Linked DNA regions of Elephas maximus indicus. The protein of the gene in region 1 interacts with the protein of each later gene in a pairwise test. Links are inferred from orthologs where the notes say so. Each region holds a gene or a part of one and is shown in the gene's direction. Other genes may lie near its edges.

What was found.
Region 2: the proteins of PRKAB2 (region 1) and SPRY2 interact in binary tests that used the Homo sapiens proteins (3 or more experiments, as listed by UniProt). The link is inferred for Elephas maximus indicus from reciprocal best matches to the Homo sapiens genes PRKAB2 and SPRY2.

What each region holds. Positions count from the first base shown.
Region 1 is NC_064821.1:159,056,571-159,063,485, forward strand, and holds the start of PRKAB2 (5'-AMP-activated protein kinase subunit beta-2), read left to right. Parts: upstream 1-3,912; 5' UTR 3,913-3,969; intron 3,970-4,366; 5' UTR 4,367-4,629; intron 4,630-4,933; exon of another isoform or gene 4,934-5,075; intron 5,076-5,360; 5' UTR 5,361-5,385; coding exon 5,386-5,541; intron 5,542-6,915. UniProt on the Homo sapiens protein: Non-catalytic subunit of AMP-activated protein kinase (AMPK), an energy sensor protein kinase that plays a key role in regulating cellular energy metabolism.
Region 2 is NC_064832.1:73,732,624-73,740,519, reverse strand, and holds the start of SPRY2 (protein sprouty homolog 2), read left to right. Parts: upstream 1-4,892; 5' UTR 4,893-5,560; intron 5,561-7,896.

The sequences.
Region 1 (6,915 bases):
CTACTTTCCTCTCCTCACATTCACATTTGGCATGTCAAAGCCCTAAATCCAGCCACTTTATTGGCCTATCATGGACTCATCTGAGCTGATGCATGACTGCCGAAATCTTACTGAATAGTTATTAACTCCCAGGCTTGATTTACAAGAATGTATTTTAGAGAATCCTGATCTTATTTTGTTTGTAGATCAGTCATATCTTAAACCATCCCCAAACTCCTCCAAATTTCAGGCTGGCTATCCAATAGTCTCCCCTACTGACGTAATAGAAAAGGAACCTCTCCCTAAAGCCACCTCAACCCAGCAAGCAGAGCTATATGCTCTGACCCAAGCTTGTGTGTTAGCTGAAGGCCTAGTAGCCAATGTTACTTTGGACTGTCAATATGAGATTAAAGTTGTACACAATATTGGACTGTTATAGGAACAAAGAGGACTTTTAACATCGTCTGGGACTGAAATTAAAAATAGCCAGCTCATTAAAGAACCATTAGATGTATTATTATTACCTAAAAGCCTACCTATTATTAAAACACAAGCCCACCAAAAAGAGCTTACTTCTGTGGAAATGAAAGGAAACCATTTCACAGATCATATGGCAAAAAGACAGCTACCTAAATTTGCGCAAATAAAGTTATACTGACAGAAATAATTGGACCACAACTTAATGAAATTTCTCTATTTTCAAAGGATGATTTAATAACTGAACAAGAAAATGCAGAACTTGAGAAAAAGCTTTATAGACAAAGGAAAGATGCACAGTAGACCCAATATCTGTGTAATGAGTTGAACCAAATAAGAGAATTGTCCTTCCCTCATCCTTACAGTATCCAATGCTTCATCTATTACATGAAGCTAGTCATTATGCTATAGATAAAATGATACAAATTATGCAAAATTATTAAAATTATTAGTGGGGTAAATTTCAGAAAGCCACTACAGATATTCACAAGGCTTGCCCCACAAGTCCTTTATTCACTCCTGGAAAACACTGAAATACTCCTTTGGTCATTTTCCACAACCCTGAGGGCCCATGTTAGTATGGCAAATGGATTTCATCCAGTTGCCCCCTTCTCAGGGTTATCAATTTGTTTTAATAATGATTTGCATGCTCTCTCACTGAGTAGCTCTTCCTTGCAGAGAAGCAACTGCCACTTTTGTAGCAAAAAAGGTCTTGGAGAATATAATTCCATGTTGGGGTGTGTCATGGATTGAATTGTGTCCCCCCAAAATATGCATCTACTTGGTCAGGCCATGATTCCCAGTAAAGTGTGGTTGTCCTCCATTTCATGATTGTAATTTTGTTAAAGAGGATTAGGGTGGAATGGTAACATCCTTACTAAGGTCACACCCCTGATTCAATGTAAAGGGACTTTCCCTGGTATGTGCCCTGTACCACCTTTTGCCTCACATGAGATAAAAGGAAAGCAAAAGCAGGCAGAGTGGGGACCTCATACCACCAAGAAAGCAGTGCCAGGAGCAGAGTGCATCCTTTGGACCGGGATTCCTGTGCTGGACTGACCCAGTGGCTGCAACAGTGGGCTCAAACGCAGCAATGATTGTGAGGATGGAGCGGGATGAGGCAGCGTTTCGTTCTGTTGTACATGGGGTTGCTGTGAGTCAGAACGTACTCGAAGGCACCTAACAAAAATGATGCATGTTGACCAAGACACTAATTGAGACACAAATTCTTCCAATAATGTATTTTGAAGGACATTCTCAGTGAATGTTTAGTTCTAAGTGTCCATAGATCATACCTATTTGGGGTCAAATTGGTTTTTTTAATTATTTCAAGACAGTGAGCTCCACCAGAGCAGGGGCTTACTTAAGCAGTCTATGCTTAGCACAGTCCCAGCAAGTACTAGGCTTGAAATAAATGGACTATACATGTTATTTCAAGAAACACTAATATTTAACCCGAACTTCATTTTAAAAATGAGGATATAATCATCTCTTCTGCCTTCCTTCACAGGTTTTGAAGATCTCGTAATATAATTCATACGCAAGTTCTTTGGAATATGAAAGGCAGATAACAGTACTAAAGTGGACAGACGGTTATATTTTTTATTGAGGCATGATTTTCATACAGTAAATTTCACCCTTTTCAGTGTACAGTCCTGTGAGTTTTGACAAACGTATACACCACTATCACAATCAAGATATAGAACTGTTCCGTAATTCCCCTCCCAATTCCTTCATGCCCCTTTGTGGTCAACCACTCTTCCCACTTCTGACTCCTGGCAGCCATTCATCTGTTTTCTGACCCTGTTTTTGGCTTTTCCAGAATGTCATATAAATGAAATCTGGCTTCTTCCACTTAGCATAGTGCATTCGAGATTCATCCACGTTTCTGTGCATATCAGGAGTTTGTTTCTTTATTGCTGAGTGGTATTTTATCTGAGTAGTATTTTATTGTATGGCTATACCACATTTTGTTTACTGACTCACATTTTAAGACTAGGAGGAGAATAATCAACATAAATCAAAATCCCCACTGTTCACTTTTCTGCCCCTTCTGTTCTGACACCAGCTGCGCATGCAGCACTCCTTCCTCTGGCTCTAACCATCCAGAGCTAGGTCAGAGCTCACAGATTAAAGGGCACAGTCCTCCAGACTAAGCTGGCCCAAGATCACAGATTCCAGCCACAATCTTGGAAGTCCCTAGGGCCCCCTTCACTTCTGACCTGCTGGTTACAAATTCAGGGTTTTCCCACCACCCCTTGTAGATGCCAGCTGCAAGCTTTGGGGTCCCCAGCCCCCTCACTTCTGATCCACTGGCTCCCACTATTCCCTTGGGTATAACACTTCTATGGAAAAACTCATAGAACTCACAAAAAGCACTATACATATGATCATAGTTTTATTACAGGAAAAAAGCACACAAATGAAGAGATGCATAGGCTAGGTCTAGGAGGGGTGCCAACACCAAGCTTTTGTGTCCCAAAAAGGGATGCGCTACCCTCCCAAGTGTATCGATGTCTTTCATCGACCAGGAAGCCCATGGAGTTTCCATGTCCAGAGCTTTTACTGGGAGTTGTTATGCAGGGTTTATCTTAGGAATTAATAGAGGCACACTCAGGTGCGTCATGCATAAACTCATTTAGTCATGGCAAGACATGTAAATAAGACCTCAGAACATTCATTCAGAACCACAGAATCAGAATTAACAATTACAATGTTAGCTCAGTGATTACAGTCCAAATTTTTAGACTTTAGGACATCTCAGGAGGAAGGCTTACTCACTGTTCAAATTCGGCTTTGAAATATAGTAGAATAATTTACAAAAACAGTTTCTTTCTCTTAAATAAATTTTCTGTAGACTAATACTATTATAAGGCAATACATATCAAGAACATATTATTTAGCAAGCAGAAACCACCCAGGGGTTAGAGAACAGAATAGTGCACAAGTCAAGGGCCTTGTTTCAGAATCCTACTGGAAGGGATGAAAGAAACTAAGGAAGGGGATGTTGTTGGGTGTCATCAGTCGATTTTCAACTCACAGTGGCCCCATGTGACAGTAGGACTACCCCATACAGTTTTCTAGGTTGTAATCTTTACAGGGGCAGATCACCAGGTCCTTCTCCCTTGGAGCCGCTGGGTGGGTTCAAACCGTCAAACTTTGGGTTAGCAGGAGAGCTATTAACCACTACATTACCAGGGCTCCTTGCGGGAAAGGGTAGGGGTAAACAAATAGGAGTTAGTCAAAATTTAGCAGTGAGCAAGAGGCTGCAGTAAAATTGTACCTTTTTTTTTTTTCCTGCAAATTCTTTGGTTAAGGGCCAGAGAATGGCTGAGTTTAGAAGGGGCACAGCAAGAAAAGATGGGGGAGGAGAGGATTTGTTGGAGTCAAGCAGATGTTCAACTTGATATAAAAACAAACTTTTCCACAAACAGCTGCTCACTCAGAAAAGGTGGACTTGGGTGGCCCATCACTGGCTGTGATTAAGCCTAAGTGGCTTATCTTGTTAGGAAGGTAAGTAAACAGTATCCCTGTACCCTTCACTCTGCAAATCTTTATTAAAAGCTTACTTAGATTATTAAAATCTGGGGCCGGGTGAGAGGGACGGGAAGAAAGCAGCACAAGGTCTGGCGCAGAAAGGCTGTGAAGAGGAATTGAATCTGATCTGCCCTACTGAGTTGTCAAAGCAGTGCTTCTCACACTTTAATGTGCACACATATCCCCTGGGAATCTTGTTAAAATGCAGATTCTGATTCTCAGGTCTAGGAGGGGGCCTTAGACGACGCCAATGCTGCTGGTGTGTAGAACACAGGTTGAGTAGCAAGTTTCTAGAAGGGAATGAGAAATGCATATAATTACAATACAAACACTTCTTCTTGTCCTAAGACTAATATTTTCTTTATTTCTCAAGGTTTATCTCATACTTCTTCAAATATTCCCTAGAGCCCCAATCGGCTCACTGCTCCTTCCTCGTCGATCCTACAGCACCCAGCTCAAACCTCGCGCAATTACCACTACCTCCTTCTGCTGGAATTGGAAAGGAAGCCGTTTTCTAATTCCCTATAGGAGCCCACCTCTTCGGGATCGCCTCTCACCAGGACGCAGCTCAGAAAACGTTCTGACGAACCTGGGCTGGGTGAGCGGGACGGGAGGAAAGCAGCACTGCTCCTCCAGGTACCAAACACTGGAAGTCAGGGAAGTGGCCGCCGACTATCGTTCATGGGCCGTCCTCTCCGTAGGGTAGGCCCAGCGACCGGTCTCACCAGCAATCCCGGTTGCAGCACCTCGTCCTGTGCGGCGGCCCCAGCCCGAAGCGCCGGTGATCGCAGGGCTGGGAGTCGGGCGCCCCCGCCTGGCGCTGGAGGCCGCGCGCGTCCGCCCACCATTGAGGCGGCGGCGACGGCTAGAGAGGCGGCCGGCCCCGGGGCGCCGCGGGGGCGCGGCCTCAGGGAACGTGTGTGGGGCGTGCCCAGTGCTACTGGCCTTGTAGCCATTTTAGGAGGAAATCCGGATCGCTACCCCGAGGCGCGGCTTCAATTTCAATAACTTTATTGGGGGCCTTATCCCGCAGAACAGCCATTGCACCAGCGGTCCCGGGAGGAGGGAGCGCATCGCGGGAGGTGATTGGGGTGGGGGATGTTTGCAATGAGGGCAGTGAGCGCGGGGATGCGGGGCAGTTCCCGAAAGCGGATTTCCTGAGGAGGGGGGCGGTGAGGGGACCTAGGGATTTAGGGGCGCTCTTTTTTTTTTTTTTCCTAGAAGCTAGAGAGGGACGGGATCCCTGGGCACGGCTTCCCTGGGGCGGGGATTCCCTGCTCGGGTCCCAGGGCGCAGGGGCGGGACCGGCGTCGCTCCTGACGCAGCAGCTGGGGTGTCCCCTCGCCCCATGTCGTTCCCCGCGGCAGGTGGCTCCCGACTCGAGCCGCAAACATGGGAAACACCACCAGCGACCGGGTGTCCGGGGAGCGCCACGGCACCAAGGCTGCGCGTGCCGAGGGTGCCGGCAGCCATGCCTCGGGCAAGGAGCACAAGATCATGGTCGGGAGCACCGATGACCCCAGCGTCTTCAGCCTGCAGGACTCCAAGGTTGGTGGCAATGCTTCAGTGGGCTTGGTTCGCGGGCTCCTCCTCCCTTTCCTGGTTCGTTCTCATCACACTGACTTGGGTTACGGTGTTTTGAATCAAACGGGTTTTTCAGGGTCACAGGGTGTTGATGGTAATTTCTCTTGCGGTGCTGCCTCAAAATAGGATGAAGAAACAGAGCTCTTATTTTTACGGCTTTCTGATTAATCTTTTAGTCACATTTTTAGGATGAGGGATAATAAGCCCCCACAGAATCCTTGGTTCTAAAAGGCACGGTTGCTCACTTCTAGACCATTGCTAAATTATGAACTGTATGTAAGCCCTAACGGAGAACTTCAGAGGGTAGGTTGCCAGAATTGCTGACCATAGGTGACAGTTTATCAGTTTGTCCTGAAATAGGTAAATATATTTTCTTTTTCTTGAAAACTTCTATGTGTTTGTATCATTTTTGCCATAGGAGCTTAGCACACCTGTTCCTCTTCCCCCACTGGTGTGGCTGTTAGCAGGAACCCATTGCTTATTTGAATAATCGAGGAGCCCAGGTGGCACAATGGTTAAGAGCTCTACTGCTCACCAAAAGACTGGCGCTTTGAATCTACCCAGCCGCTCTGGGGCGATCTCCTCCCGTAAAAATTAGGGTCCGGAAAACCGTATGGGGCAGTTCTGCTCTGTCACGTGGGGTCACTCAAAGTCGACTCCACTGAATCTAACAACAAGAACAATCCTAATTTGGGGGACCAATAAAAGTCATCATTTGGTCGACTAATAAATTTCATCCTGTACTTCACAGTTGCTATTGGCTGAGGCTGCGCTTGCTTAATACCCAGCTGCTTCTCATGGGAAAGCAAATGATTCCTGGACTGCAGGATTTCTCCACTTCCCAGTAGTACCTCAGAATGTTGCCATGGCTAAAAAAAACGACAACCCACAGTTGCCCTGAGACCTCCTTCTCAATTCCAAGGCAGCAACTTGTGTTCATCCTACAGAAAGGACAGATGGGCATGACAGCATTGTGATTACTATGCTAATGTTTCCAATCACTTTAGAGCTTTCCGCATTAAATACGTTCATCCAGATAGGCTGACTGGGCTGAAATAGAAAAATGGAGGGATTGAAGAGAATGGGATGTGTTTCTTATTACCTCATCATTTCCCACAAAACTGGAGTTTTAGACAGTAAATAGAGTATTATCTGCCACATAGGTAGCATGAAATTTGGAGTCTATAGTTTGTGTATTTCCCTGGAGCCCAATTGAGAAAATAATCACAGAGGGAGAAGTCCAAAAAAAAAAAAACCAAACCCACTGCTGTAGTGTCTGTTCTGACTTATAGTGACCCTATAGGATGGAGTAGAACTGCCCCAGGGAGAAGTGAGGGT
Region 2 (7,896 bases), on another chromosome or scaffold:
GCTTGACCTTCAAGGTCAAGGAAGACGTATATTGGAAATATAATGTGAGAAATATGTTGGCCAGTTGTTCTGTTTCAGCCTTATTACAGAACATCTGACCTTGCATGAATTGTGGTAAGAATGTGCATGAATCTAGCATTAAGTAACCAGTGGAAACCAAGAGATGGATTCAGGTTGAAGATAAGATCTCTGCAAAAAAAAACACCCAGACCAACGGAAGTATTTAGTCCAAGGTCAACTCTAACATGGGCTCAAAATGACAGAAACCTCCCCCCCCCCGCCCACTTGCTCTACGAAAACGCCAGATCCTTCTCCCAGTTTAGTTAGGGATGAAGAACATCTCCCAAGAAGTCTAGATCAGGAGATGAATTGTTTCCAGTCCTCCAAAAGAACTAGTTAAGAATGCAATAGTTAAGTGATCTGTTTTGAATTCCTTTGCATATTTTATTGCAGCCATTCTGAATCTCCCCCACCCCTCACCCCCAAAGGCCGTATCAACAGAATTTAGGGAGCCAAAGCAGCTCAAAAACTGAAACGACAAGCATCCCGGCTGCCAAATCAGAAGGTCCATCACTACAAAGCTCTTTAACTCAGGGAGGTTACTAAAGTGTTTGTGCTTAAATTCATTTTATTATTACAACTGGAATGTGATGAGATCTAATAGTTGAAAGCCTCAAATTGTTACCCCTGGGAGCAACACACACTGCTGTGTTTTGTGCATCTTGAAATGCGTGTGCAGATAACCTTAGTGAGGGAACTAACAAAATAACCAAACAACCTATAGCTACTAATTCTTTTTCCTCAAGAATGCATCATATTACTGTAAGATTTTCCTTTGGTTATAAAGTTCCATCACCACCTTCTATCAGTCTGTCATACTATGGTGGCTTTCGTGTTGCTGTGATGCTGGAAGCTATGCAGCCGGTATTTCAAATACCAGCAGGATCACCCACGGTGCACAGGTTTCAGCAGGGCTTCCAGACGAAGGCAAACTAGGAGGAAAGCCCTGGCAATCTACTTCTGAAAACTCGCCAAGGAAAACTCTATGGATCAAAACAGAATACTGTTCAACATAAAACTAGAAGATAAGCCCCCTAGGTTGCAAACCAACCATGGACTTAAGCATGCCAGTGATCACGAGGAGCGTTTTGTTCTATGGTACGTGGGGTTGCCATGAGTCAAAGCTGCCCCCAAGGCAAATAGCAGTAACAACAACATCAAGTTCTAAGGCTGAAATCAGTGGCTTGAGCAATTTCAGAAGCTAGAACTAGAGATGTTGATTTGTTTAAAACTGTATTCTTCTATTGTTATTGTTGCTAGTTGCCTTCAAGTCAATTCTGACTCATAGTGCCTCCATGTTTAGGGCATAAATCAGAAGTTTAGATCAGTGGCCAAGTGCAACCTTGATAATACCTGACTTTAACTCACCCAACACACATACTAGCAAAGAATCCTGTCTACATCGGCCCCATAGACACATTCTACCCAAGACAGGAGATGGCAAAATTGACATGCATTTTCTACACTGATCTGGTTTAAAAAAAAATTTAAAAAAGAAGAAGATTATAGTCATAAAATAAAACAAAAGCAAATACAAATAAATGAGGAATTAGAGAAAATAAAATGAAGCCAAAGATGAAATCCCAAATGTAGGGTACACAGTCTTCAATGGCAAGAAGTAGGAAGGCACGTTACTTGGTGAGTCCCAATGACTCGGAGGTATTGGTGCAGCACAGGTTTCCATGGTTTCAGTAAATTTCAACATTAGGCAAATAAGAACATCTGTTCATGCATCAGGACGGCCTCTCTAGAACCTTCCACAACACACCTGAAAATGAGCTTCATTGTGAAGTTTTATCTAGTATTCCATCATGATTCTCCAATACCTCACAACGTTAATCCAAGTTATGTATTTCGGAACGCAATAAGGGAATCAATTTGGGGACACATTATCATGGTTGCACTAAACACCTCATATTGTATTCTTCTTTTGGATTATAACTCGCCAAGTGAACTTTACTACCTACCCATTGCTGTCCAGTCAATTCGAACTCATAGTGACCCTACAGAACAGAGTAGAACTGCCCCATAAGGTTTCCAAGGAGCAGCTGGTGGATTCCAGCTGCCACCTTTTGTTTAGCAGCCGAGCTCTTACCCACTACACCACCAGAACTACAAGTAACCTTTAGAGCACAAAAAATAGCTCTCCGCCCTTCACTATCTGAAAAAATAATAATTGAACTAATTAAAATAAAGACTAAGAAGTAAATGAGAAAGAATCCAACAGATTCTTGTTTTAACTCTGTGCATAAGTTACAGGCTGAATGTTTTCCCAGCCAGCAAGCCGGAGGGTGCGCAGGAAGGAGAGGGGAGCTAGTTTACATGGTATTTCTTCAAGTTCATGCAAGACAAACATGAATTACAGATTCTTCTCCACTGGCTTAATAAAAATATAAGGTGCTCTAAGGTCCCTGCGTGACCTAATGCACTCAACTACTAAACAGGATTGGCAGTTTTAATCCACTCAGAGGTATCCTGGAAGAAAGGCCTATCTGCTTCCGTAAAGATTACACCCTCAAAAACCTTAGGCAGCAGTTCTACTCTTTAACACATGGGGTCGCCATGAGTCAGAGTGACTAAAAACAGTTTTTTTTGTTTTTTGTTTTAAAGGGGCTCTTTAACTAGCCTTAAGTTCCTAACTTAAATTCCATTTTATGCTTTGATTTCTGACCACGTGTCTTCGCAAAGTTCCTGCAGCTCTGGGAGAAAGGCATAGATACAACTGTATCATAGAAACGGCCACCGTGCAGGAGTCTGAAGGGTCGAAGAAAACGCATTTCCTTCACCTGCTCTGCCCTAACCTTGTTAGCTAGACGCCAGCAGCACAGTCCCACCAGCTTTGCACAACCTGGCTGTGGCCCCAGCACCTTACCCTTAGTAAAAGCAAGGGTCCTTCCTAAGTACCTCACCTCGCGTTCAAAACGCAATCGCTCTGCGATCCGAAGAGATGGTGAGGAAAGCTACCTTCTGTGGCTTTTAAATTATAAACACCTTTTTCTTTTTTTCCATTTTGAATCAGCCGGCCTGACGCACATTTTGGAAAGCAACCCCCTTCTGCTCGCGTCGAGTGCAGTGCTTCGTGGAGAAAGCAGGCGCAGCCCTGCGCCCCCCCGGGCGCCCCCTGGTGGTCTGTCGGGCCGTAACGCAGCTGCGCCTCAGTTCACCCGGAGGCTCAGTGGACTCCCGCATTCAGCGGGTAGCGGGGGCGAGGGAGGCCCCTCCGCCGCGCGGTGGAAGCCCGGGGGACGCCGCGGTGGAAGCGGACGTAGCCTCGTCCACCTTTCTCCACTCATAAGGTTGGGAACGTGGGCCAGCGTCCGGAAATAACGCATGCTACTTCCCCTGCCACTTCTAGTTCCAAACCTGGGGCGGCGGGGGAGAGTCCTGGAGAAACAAGGCGAAAGCGGGGCTAGAGCGCAGCGAGACAGGGAACGTGCGAGGGCATCCCAGACCCAGAGCTCTGGAGAAGCCAGCGAGTGCCAGGTAGCTGCGTACGGATGTGGGCCGGAGCTGGACTGGGGGAATCCAGCGCCACATTTTTCTAGCTTCAAGAACTCCCACCCCGCATGGGGACAAATTCGCAGGTGCTGTTAGGAATGTTGACCCCTACAAGCAGGTACTTTCCTGTAAAGGAAAATATTTCTGTAAGACATTAGGTAGAATAAAGTATCATTGGTGTTTTAATTTTCTACTTGTGCTTCCACGTGAAGCACGTTTCTAAGTAAATAAACAGCAGAGACGAACATATGCATGCATCTTACATTTTTGTATTTCTATTTATTCTTAAGTGGGAAAACACAATTCACCTTCAAGACGGACAATAGGATCTTCTTGAAAAGTGTGCTAGGTAACAAGGAGACACAGAAATGAAGGATGCCTTCTGATTGAGTGAAGAAGGAAACCTGAAGTGCAAGTGGCACCCTCCCCATTTCAGAAGCCCACGATGTTGCTCTGAGTATTACTGAATTAACTACTTCCAGAAGGCTTAAATTTTAGAATTTCCTTGCACCCAACAAATCATTAAAAATGCTCTTCAATCATTAAGAACGCCTCCATCTATAGCTAACCCTCCTAAAACCAAAACCGATTAAACCTATTAAACAGAAAAACTACCAATCTAAACAATCAAAAGCAAACCCCGGCAAGAGAGTAAGGGACTTGAAGCCCGAATCTGCATTCCGTTCCTCCCGTACTCGGCTCCGAGGTGGGGGAGGCGGTTTGTGCTGGTGCCTGGTGTATAATCGGGTTAATCCGGGAGACAAAGAATAAACCAATAGCCCTCCCACCTCACTTCCCGCTCCCTTCCTTTCCCCCTCTCCTCCCCCTGCTCCCCCTCCCCGCAGGAGGGGGGACAGAAAAGGGGAGAGATGGACTTGAAGTCGGTTCCGGATAAAGTCTTAAAACCTGCATGCAACTTGTTTTTAATGCGAACATTGCAGAGCTGGGATGAGTTGTAAATGTTCACTCCCCTTTCCTAGTGGCGGGGAGAAAGTTCCATAAGTCAGACCGAGCTTATGGCTCGTCTTCATGGCCTCTGGGAAAACCTTAAGGTCAGTGTTTCCTTGAAACTAGATAAACTGACCCCGCCGTGCCCAGCCCAGCCCCGCGAGCGCCCCGCGTGACGGCGCCCCGGCTGCAAGACCGGCCAGAGGACGCGCGGGGCGGCGCGGTTGCCCTTTTGAATGCCTCCTGCGGCTCGGAGCGCTGGCGGGCGCTGGAGTGTGAGTGAATGTAGCCCCGCGGAGCCAATGAGCTGGGACCGGATGCGATATATCCTCTGGGACAACAACTGCTCTGTTCCGCCTCGGATCCACATGACGCCATTTACTGCTGCCGCGGCGGCCGCAGAGCTCCCTGCCTCCTCCGGAAAGGCGAGGGCGCAGGCCAACGGCGAGCCCCCCCCGGCCGGGCCACAGGCCCACCTCCTCCTCCTTTTCCTCCTCCTCCTCCGCACCCACCGCCCTAGGCTCGGCCTCGCCGCCGCGCCTCCGCAACGCCCAGTCTGCACCGCCGAGAGCTGCGCGCCGCAGCGCGAGCGGAGGACAGGGGCCGGCGGAGCGCGCAGCGCCCAGGCCCCCGCGCCCGTCCGGCCCGACTCGCGCCCCCGCGCCGCCACCGCTCCGACACAGCTGAGACCGCACGACTTGGCGATCTGGCTTTAGGTTCTCTGTAAGGCCGTTTTCTTGTCTCATTCGCTCGTTTGCCAGGGAAAGAGACTCGCCGTTGGCGCTTCGGCCTCCTGTTCATTGAGAAAAAGAGGAAATACTCCGCGTGCGCTTGTAGAAGGGGGGTCGACTCTATCCCCGAACACCGGAGTGTTCATCGGATAGCGACTTGGCACCCGGTTTTCTTTACGTTTCATCCGCCGATTGCTCGGAAGTTGGACTGAAACAGAGTTTGGAAAGAAGGGGAAAAAGTTTGCGTCGAGGCTGGATTTATTTGCACATCGCAGTTAGAAGAGAATCCAAGGGAGAGGAGTTGGTGCAAAGCCGCGATCACGGTGAGGCGCGTTTGGCTCTTCCCCTCCTGGCTCCGTGGCCGGCGTGTCGCGGGCAACATGGAGTAGGTGCAGCTGGACTGCGAGTGGGGTTCATTTCACCTCGGATCTCCCTTTCTGTAACCCCGCAGGTTCCCCACGGGGATCAGGGGTAGCTGCCTCGTCCCGGACTCGGTCTTGGCCCGCCTCAGCGGGGACTGCCGTGCACACCCCGCGCAGTATCCCCGCGTCCTCCCTAGCCCGGCGACCCCGCGCACCCGCGCTCGGGAGGGTGGGGGGTGGGTTGGGACGACGATCAGGTTCTCAGGAATCAACTCCTGGCCCTGCGAGGGCAGCGAATTGGACTCTGAGAGCCGGGAGAGGGAAAGCATTTTGTGTTTTCCAGGTCGTCTTTGCAGGCGCGGGGATTTGTAACCTGTTTCTCTCCTGGGCAGGCAAGTCCTAGGCGACGCTGTCCCTAGGCAGGGCTCCGACGGGCCGAGGGTGCGCGGGTGGAGAGAGGCCCCCGCCTCTGCCTGGTGTGGACGGGGGCGAGCCCTGTGCTGGTGGGAGCGTCTCCCTGCCCGGCGCCGTGTCTCTGCGGTTTGGAAGTGGCGCTTTCTCTTTTTTCCGTTCTCCGTGGTCGGCCTGGGTCATGGTTTTATTTTTGGAAGCTTGGGCTGACCCAGCACAGGAAGAAAGTCATCAAGTGGTAGCGATCATTTTCCATTATCTGAAAATGGGTGGCAAAAGAGGCTATTTTTTTCATTTCCTCTGATGGGCTGATTTTTTTTGTTGCTGTTGCTATTTTTAAATTTCGGTATCTTGTGTGTTTTTACAGAGCGGTTTCTCTGTGGGTTTGCCCCACCCTAGTACCGAAGTCCTTTCCTCCTAATCCATAGTCTGATCACACACTGTTATTAATGGGGGTTTCAAAGCACTTTGGGCTGGGGGGACTGGGAACGCACTAAGTGGCGGGGGTGGGGCGGGGAAGACTGGGAAGAAGGAGACCAAGAATCGACAGAAATCACTTTAAAAAAGACTACTTAACTTTCTTTTAACATGCTGCTCTCAACTTGCAGTCACATCTGCGCTGAATGTTTGCAGCTCAGGCATCTAAGTCCTGCCTGCGCGGCGAGTGCAGTGGCGCCTTGGAAAGCGCCCTAAACTCTTAAAACAATTTCTATCTTTAAGAAATGTGTGTGTGTGTTTAGTTTCTCTACACCGAAAGTAGATAATAGTGTGCAGATTGCATACAGTGTCCACTTAGGTCAGTGCAGCGTGGAGTCGCGCGAGGTTAAGTATGGGCGTCAGGGCTGTGTACCTTAGGCAGGGCTTTCTTCCTCGCCGCGTCGGTGCTGGAAACTTAGGTCCCGCGCTCAAGGGCCTTTTCAAAAACGCCCTACGGTGGGGTGTGTGACCCCAGCCTAGGAGTGGAGTGGCTCCCTCTTGGGGCTGGAAGGCGGCTCTCAGTTGGGGTAATGGGAGCGGCGGCGGGGGAAGCGTGCTCCTGCGTTTCGTGACACGTCCCTTTTGGAGGCGCCCGTGCCTCCCCCCACCCCCCCACCCCGCGCGCCTTTCTGTCGGCCTGGGGATCGTGCACGGTGGGAAGGGGTGGGGCTGGCCCCTGGGCAGCGTCAGTCCGCTCGGAGAAAACTCTCTCGAGGTTCCGGCTGAGTCCCACCTGCTGGGGACGGCGTCGGGGCGCAGATAGAACCGATAAATGGAATGAAAGCAGAGAGCAACGTTGTCTTGTCTTTCTGCTGGAGGTAAGGAGGAGATCTGGCTTCCAGCTCTGTCTTGTTCCCGAATTGCTAGGCGTGTGTCACCTGCCCTGTTCGCTGTGGTTCTGTTTTCTGAAAAGGAGAGGTTGGATAAGGTTCCTTTTTTTTTTTTTTTTTTAATGAAATCATGGAAAGGGGGATAATAGTTTGGAAACTTACAGAAGGATTACAGTTTAAAGGGATTACTTGTCAAAATGCTAAATTCAAGATGTGACACTTGAATTTTTAAAGCTTTTTTTTTTTCCTCTTCCAGTTGATTTATGTTCTCAACTGTAAGTTTTTTGGAAAACAAGCAAATCGGTTAAGATTTTGACATAATTCTTATATGCAGCAGGATGCAGTAACCGTTGGCCTGCAGAATCTAAGGTATTTTTCCTAGGCTATCAGGTTATGAGATCCTTGATTCTCAAGTTGTTGGAAGGTTGAGAATAAGTTCCTGTCTGGTTGCTTGTTGTGTAAGTTTGATTTAATGTGTTCCTTGCACCTAATGGTATTTGAATTGATTTGTTTTTAATCCCATATCTTTGTGCTGTTATATAGTCATACACAATGGCATGCTTGTAAAATTTATAACTA